Xenopus tropicalis: one gene and its partner. The protein of the gene in region 1 interacts with the protein of each later gene in a biochemical or structural test. Links are inferred from orthologs where the notes say so. Each region holds a gene or a part of one and is shown on either strand. Other genes may lie near its edges.

Region 1 (3,835 bases):
TGAACCTTTCACTATGGACCTTCAGTTCTTGGTATTTGATAAATAAAAATGTTTGTGTCATCTAGCCTTACCTCATCTAAACAAAATGAAATATTTAGTATTCATGACAGCAGCATATTAGCAATGGCTATTTAGTGTAAGTTAATATGATTAATCACAGAAACAGTAAAACAAGATAATGCAAGGGCTGTGCACAGCAACAATATGAAAATAATCATTTATATTCTTGACCGAATAGGAAAGTACTTGCCAGGCCCTCACAGCAAGAATAAAGTGAAAAGATTTTACAGTGTACATGGACACACTAAGGGGCACATTTACTAACCCACGAACGGGCCGAATGCGTCCGATTGCGTTTTTTTCGTAATGATCGGTATTTTGCGATTTTTTCGGAAATTATCGCGACTTTTTCGTTACCAATACGATTTGTGCGAAAAAACGCGAGTTTTTCGTAGCCATTCCGAAAGTTGCGCAAAATCTGGCGATTTTTTCGTAGCGTTAAAACTTGCGCGAAAAGTCACTATTTTTTCGTAGAGTTAAAACTTGCGCGAAACGTCGCGCCTTTTAAGTTTTAACGCTACGAAAAAGGCGCGACTTTTCGCGCAAGTTTTAACGCTACGAAAAAATCGGCAGATTTTGCGCAACTTTCGGAATGGCTACGAAAAACTCGCGTTTTTCCGCGCAAGTCGTAATGGCTATGAAAAACTCGCGTTTTTTCGCGCAAGTCGTATTGGTAACGAAAAAGTATCGATAATTTTCCGAAAAGTCGTAAAGGCGCCGAAAAAATCGCAAAAAATACGATTCGATTTCGAATTCGTGTCTTAGTAAATCAGCCCCTAAATGATTAACAAAATATTTTATTGTACCCGCTCATTGTGAGATTTAGGGGAAAACTTTCAGCATGACACTAAAACCTATCCAGGTTTGGCCATAGTTAGATTTTGAAAATAAACCCTTGTAGTAAATCCATATATAGTACTGATTATTGGCAGCTTTGTTCATCCATTTTGTTAAACCTGGCAGTCAAGGTGAGAAAGTCTATACAGTTTATGCATGTATAATTAACGCACTTATGTTACAAATGTTTTCTGCCTCCTTTACAGGATCATTCTGTATCTATATTTACTACATGCTGCTATGCATTTAATATACAAGTAGTTTGTCAATGGGACTCAGTGATGTAGATGAATTGGATCTGAATCCTACTTCTTACCTCGGTCTGCACCATGTACATCCGGTGAATTCGGAGGTCCCTAACAGCTCCAAATATATCCACTGAATCCACTGTATCAACTTGTTGAAGCATTCGGTCCAGTACAATGAATGTGCCAGTTCTGCCAACACCAGCACTGTAACAAATACACATTGTCATCCCATGTACTGCAAATATAAAATGTGTTTTTAAGGCTGCACCCATGCATGAACTACAATATGATGGAAACTAAGGTAAATAACTTTATTAAAAACAGTATGCCCAACTGTTGTTAAACTGACATCTCCTGGACCACATTTACGATAGTAAAACTGCAGCAATTTTTGCATTAATCAATTATGTTTAATATGCAATAATGTAAATGTAAAAATTAAGGATAAGAAACTAGTTCTGCTGTACCTGCAGTGCACCACAGTAGGGCCACTTCCAGGAGTTCTGTTAATATAGTCTCTGACTGTTCTTACAAACTGGATCAGTGATTGGGTGGTTTCTGGCACCCCATGATCTGGCCACACTGTATAGTGGAAATGACGGACTAGTCGTGGTGCATCAATTTGATCTTCCTGTAAATGAAAAAAAAACAGTGTTCTGTTTCTATAATGTGACATCTAGCCAGCAACATAGGACTGCAACACTTTATAAACAAAATACATTAAAATCAAACAATGAACATAATTTGAACATACAGTATTATTAGTTTTTTTACATTCTATAAAATTGCTACAACAAAAAAAAATTGAAAACATACCATACTAATACATTATGGACTATATTCCCTTTAATTAGACCCCAAAGAAGAACTAGAACCATCACCTCTTAAGACAGTATGTCTTCAATAAAGGGTGCTTAATAGCAAGCCAATCCATCCTCCATTAAAGCTTATAAAATGTGACAATTTAATAATTACCATGAGCCAAGAAGTGTATTTATTTATAAATCACTGTAATTTACACAGTGGGATGTAAAAAGTAAAAAAAACGACATATGATATTTAAGTAACTAAAGTCTGAATGGGCAACAAAAGACAATATAAAAAAAGAGACAGAGCTGTCAAATTAAAACTTTGCTCAGCTAATTCCTACCTAGTTTCTAGCTGTTCAAAAGGAAAGTGACAGGAAAGTGACAATAAACCAATTTTTGATGTGTTGTTACAGTTGTTAATGTTGTCTTACCAGTTCCCAGCATAATTTATTATTGCATTGCCAAGATTCTGTGTATATAGCAAGAAAAGGTTATGTTTGTTTCACTGCTGTAGGCTACGACTTCTATATAAGAAAGCTGGAGTGAGGGAGCTGGGAAGTGTGCTCCTAAAAATTCTGGAGTGCCATGAAATGCCACAATATAGCCACAACTCTGTCTTTTAGTGATTACTCTGCCCCTTTAAGCCCTAAAATATGTATTCTGACATTTAATTTTCCGAGGTATTGAAAGAGGCACACAACAGGATGATGAATTGCTACAACACAGAGAAGCTAAAAACGTACTGTATATACTTTTGCATTGATTTTAAGAGACTGATAAATGGCACTTGGTAGCAAAGGAAAATTCCACATGGTTTAAACTTTATAAGAAGAATTTCTTACACTGCAGATTTTAAATTCCCTTATTGTCCATTCAGGAAGCACAGATTCTGACAGCATTTGTACTATCAGGTCTCCGTAATAGTATGAGTCTTGGTCCATGGGCCAATAATGATCGCATTTTGCCTGTGAAGGGACACAGCAAAAATACAGAATGGATAATGGTGTTAGACAAGATAATGTTTCAATTCATTATGAATTCTTGTTATTGAATCATTTCAGAACTGCTTATAAAACACAAAGCTCTTTAGTTTTTTTTATTATTATTATTTACAAAGAAAAGAAATATGGTTTTGGCAGTAAATAAAAATGCAACCCCCTTGTTAAATATATCAACTGGAAAACAATGCCTATGTATTTTAACTGCACCCCCATTTCACTGCATCCAAAATACACTGTAATCAGATAAAAACATAATTGTTGCTTTCAAACCTTCTTCCTGCTCACCAGGGAAAAAAACCTGTATAAACCTGATGTTAAATAATGTTGACATAATCATCACAGATACCCTTATATATATATAATGATATATATAATTTTTAGAGAAAAATTGCAGTGGACAAAAACTTCACCAAGATCAACCTACAGCTCACCTTGAAAAGGATCCAACAATTCAAGATGCCAAATTTCTAATTGGAATGTCAACCAGGGTCTTTAGACAGTTGAAACATTTTTCCTGCTAAGTCATAAAAAATCCTGGCAACAAGGTGTAGTACAATGAAATGTACAATCCAGGTTTCTATTCTTTTTTTTGAGTTCTGCCCTTTATCATACCGACTTAGTATATATGTCACTTTTCCCAATGCAGCAAAACTTTATCCAGTGCAGTAATGCTATCCTGCTCTATCCTCTTACACAACTTCAATTTACTTCCATCAAACCATCAATTCCCTGAATTCTTACTCCCCTGGCTTGATTTGCTTCCGATTAGGTGTTTTTTTTAAGTAAAAAAAATTGCAGCAGTTTTCTATGCAAAGTAATTTACTCCTCCTCCCTCCTACAACTTTTTATATCAGTTAGCAGAAGATTTCTTGTTCCCAGG
Region 2 (3,835 bases), about 5.8 Mb from region 1:
TGGCCAATAATAAAGGCAGAATCTTGCAGGTAGGAACTTTCTTGTGTAATTATTTTCATTTTGATTGGATAATTAAGTAGGTTTGGAATGTAAGGCTTTAAACAAAAATAATCAGTACTTATATTAAATATTAAAATAATATTTCATATTACATTACAATATAATTTTGTCTAATTAAAAAAATATAATTCTAAGCAACTTTCCAATATAAAATATATATGGGCTCTAAATAAAATATTTTTTGCCCAGGAAAAGTATATGGAGATTTCATATTGTGCTTACCGATGCTCCGTTTTTCAGCCATCTGATGCTAGGCTGTGGCTTGCCTTTAGCAACACAGGCCCAGTGCAAATCACTGCCTATATCTCTTTCTGTATCATTGATGTGTTCTACCCATTCTGGCACACCTAGAAACCGAGGCAATATATATTTTGAACATTATTCCAATCTATTAAGAACATACAACATTTAAAAACTGGAAATAAAGTCTTTTGTCTGTAAATTCAATGAACTTTTTGGTAACTTGAACCAAGGATGAAATTAAGCTCTACACTGTTAACATCCATTTTATATCTGATTTTACTGATTTTTCTGATTTCATTACTCATATAAATCTAAAGTATATTATTAATATAAATAGATCCCAAATGAGTGTGGGTAATTGAATTCTATGCAGTATAAAAGTTTAATTACATACTCATTTATCTTGGCTTATAGGCGGATCAGTGACTCTTAGTTTGAAAAAAAAAGAGTAATTTTACTCCTTCCTGGAAACAAGCCTCTTAACATTATTAATAAATTAATTTAATAATTTCCCTGTAGAAGGAGAGCTATCTGTCTTCAAAACTTGGGAACCTACAACATTCAGCATATGAATTTTTAAACAGCAATTTTACCAGCAATGTCTAGGGGAAAAAGTACAAACTACATCAACCACTATTTATTGGGCAACTTTGCAGAAATATATCATTTTGTAAAGTTCAAAATGCATGCAATGTATTAAGCCATCATGAGGCTGAAATAAAATGCCAGTATTACTATCAATTCCAAGACATAGAGGAATGCTATGGTTATGTAAAGCTGAACCCAATTCGTTTTTACACATGGCATACCTTCTACATATACATATGCTTTGTGTGTGTCCATCCCTTTAATGTTTTTAGCTTCACACTCATACGTTCCTTCATCTTCGGGCTGGATATTGAAAATCTTTAAGACAGCCCCAGACATGCTTATCTCAGCTGAAGCTGGCATTGCCTCATTTGTTTTTCTCCATGTGATTACAGGAATAGGACTAGAAGTAAAGGTGACAATATAAATACATATTTGTGAGACTGAGGGAAACATAAGACAGTGTGACCTTGAGAAAAAAAACTACTAAATAATCAGTTACAACAAATACAAGCAAGTTGCTTAAAATTAACATATTTCCATAACTGATCTTCATATTAATGATCTTAAGGCCAGCAACTCAAGTATTACAACATTTAAGGTATTGTTCTTATTCTGAATACACAACTGACACTACACAGCTACTATTAAGCAATTTAAATAACAAACTAAAAAAAACAAGATACTTGATAAAACAAAATCATCACAGATTTTCCTATGAATACAAGTCTTAAAATAACAAATACAATAGAGGTTAAATACAATAGAGGTTGCAAGCTGAAAAATAATAACATCAATATCTCACTAACAACCATTTTAATTTATTTTAAGGATTCAGTACATTCCTACTGAAGTTTATCTGTCAATGCCATACTTTCTACTTCCAGGAATCAGTATAAGATAGATAATGCCATTCTCCCACCCCTTCACCTTGCAGCACAAGCTATAGAAGTGTCAGCAATACAACTCACTATTATATACCTATGAAAGGCTATTGATACTCTATGATGCCCCAGAGTCCCAGACACTGAGGGCTGCTATGCCTTTACCAGCAGCCCTATCAAAACATTAAATAGTAGTTTATTGAGCAACCAGTCACAAAGAGACCTGTGCACATCTGCCGTAATGTCTTAAAATGTCACTTGATAGCCAGCCCCCAGTCTTCACTGAGCAACTCAACTGAGATCATAAAGGGCGAAACCTCTGCTGGTCTTATCTGCAGCCTATCATAGGGCAGTTTTCTTGGATTTAATTCCTTGCTATTAGAAAATAAGGATGGGTTGAATCTTTGTATTTGGCTATAATCTTGGTTACTGCCTAATGTATGGACTATGCTTGCATAGTCCATTTTTAAAGATGGGAAGGGCCATTTGTAATTTTTTTTTTCATTTTCTCTAAAACCATGAATGCCAGGTGATTTATTAAAAGTCTTTTAAAAACACAAATAAGTGTGAGAAAACCCCTGAAACCCTTAAAACCATGAAGCAAAGAAAGATCTTCCAGTTGTAAAAAAGGGCATCTACATAATCTCAATAGTTTTTAGATTTGTTGCAGTTTTGACGCATAATAAATGGCAAAAAAATTTTTTTTTTTTTATGAAAACAATGCCCCCCCATAGACAATAATCATTATTACTGAGTATTACTTACTTTCCCAAAGCAAAACACTCCAGTGTGACGTTTTGATCTTTCAAGGCACGAGTGTCTTTAAATTTGACATTAATAACAGGTGTATAACGTTTAGGTTTCTCTAATAAAACAAAATATCCCATTAGTAAATATTAAGGATGAAACACTGCAATTTTGTTCTGTTTATGAAACAATCATGAGTTTTTAATGTGCACTGAGAAAAAAATTAAGGAAATAGGAGTCTAAAATTACATTTAGGTATTATGGCAGGAGTATATATGCAAACATTTTAGTTTTCACTGGATGACAAAATTGAATATACAGGTATAGGACCCATTATCCAAAATGCTCGGGACCAAGGGTATTCCAGAAAAGGGGTATTTCTGTAATTTGGATCACCATACCTTAAGTCTACTAAAAAATCAATAAAACATTAATTAAACCCAATAGGATTGTTTTGTATCCAATAAGGATTATTTATATCTTAGTTGGGATAAATTACAAGGTACTGTTTTATTACTACAGAGAAAAAGGAAATCAGTTTTAAAATTCTCTATTATTTGATTAAAATGGAGTCTATGGGAGACGGGCTTTCCGTAATTCGGAGCTTTCTGGATAATGGGTTTCCGGATAAGGGATCCCATACCTGTACTAAGGAATTATTATTAGATTTTTAATTTACTAAAGAATTATTATATTAGAATAAAAACATTTTCACATATGTGACTGTACTGCTAAAAAAAACATTTTTTAGCATGTAATTATTAGCTATTCCAATATTTGTGCTATGTTAAATCATTGTACAGTGCAATTTCTGTCAATTATATATTTTAGTCAGATCTTTTATATATGTATATGACTATAGCCTGTAAGAGAAAAATATAAATTTTTTATGTCATTACCTTGGTGTGGAAGGTAATGAAATGTGCAGTTACAGTAAAGTATGTAACAGCACTTGATACCGTGTGTTGTTTGGATACCTCTATTTAGGTATAGTTTAAATGCAGTTCCTGCTACCCTGTCATAAAATTCTGCTGTTGTATTTTTTTTTACTGTTTGTGTGGTAACATAAGGACTATTACTCTTACTGTACCAGCAGATATTTGAACTGCCAATATTCTACTGCTCTAATAGACAGGAGGATCTTGACCTTCAGCTTCTGAGGCACAATTTCAAGGGTGCTCAAAAGCACCAAACATGTGTCCAAAGCATTTTCTTACCTGAAGTGTCAGTTTGTGGAAGTAGTGAAATAAATTTGCTGAATACACTTTTGGTAACAGAAGGGCTGGAGACAAAACATGAGTAATTGCCTCGGT

Evidence for each region.
Region 2: the proteins of ptprb (region 1) and cntn1 form a complex in vitro, tested with the Homo sapiens proteins (2 studies listed by BioGRID). The link is inferred for Xenopus tropicalis from reciprocal best matches to the Homo sapiens genes PTPRB and CNTN1.

What each region holds. Positions count from the first base shown.
Region 1 is NC_030679.2:59,464,008-59,467,842, forward strand, and holds part of ptprb (receptor-type tyrosine-protein phosphatase beta), read right to left. Parts: intron 2,920-3,835; coding exon 2,797-2,919; intron 1,777-2,796; coding exon 1,613-1,776; intron 1,350-1,612; coding exon 1,214-1,349; intron 1-1,213. UniProt on the Homo sapiens protein: Plays an important role in blood vessel remodeling and angiogenesis. Not necessary for the initial formation of blood vessels, but is essential for their maintenance and remodeling. Can induce dephosphorylation of TEK/TIE2, CDH5/VE-cadherin and KDR/VEGFR-2.
Region 2 is NC_030679.2:65,256,937-65,260,771, forward strand, and holds part of cntn1 (contactin-1), read right to left. Parts: coding exon 3,740-3,835; intron 2,641-3,739; coding exon 2,541-2,640; intron 1,295-2,540; coding exon 1,113-1,294; intron 408-1,112; coding exon 283-407; intron 1-282. UniProt on the Homo sapiens protein: Contactins mediate cell surface interactions during nervous system development.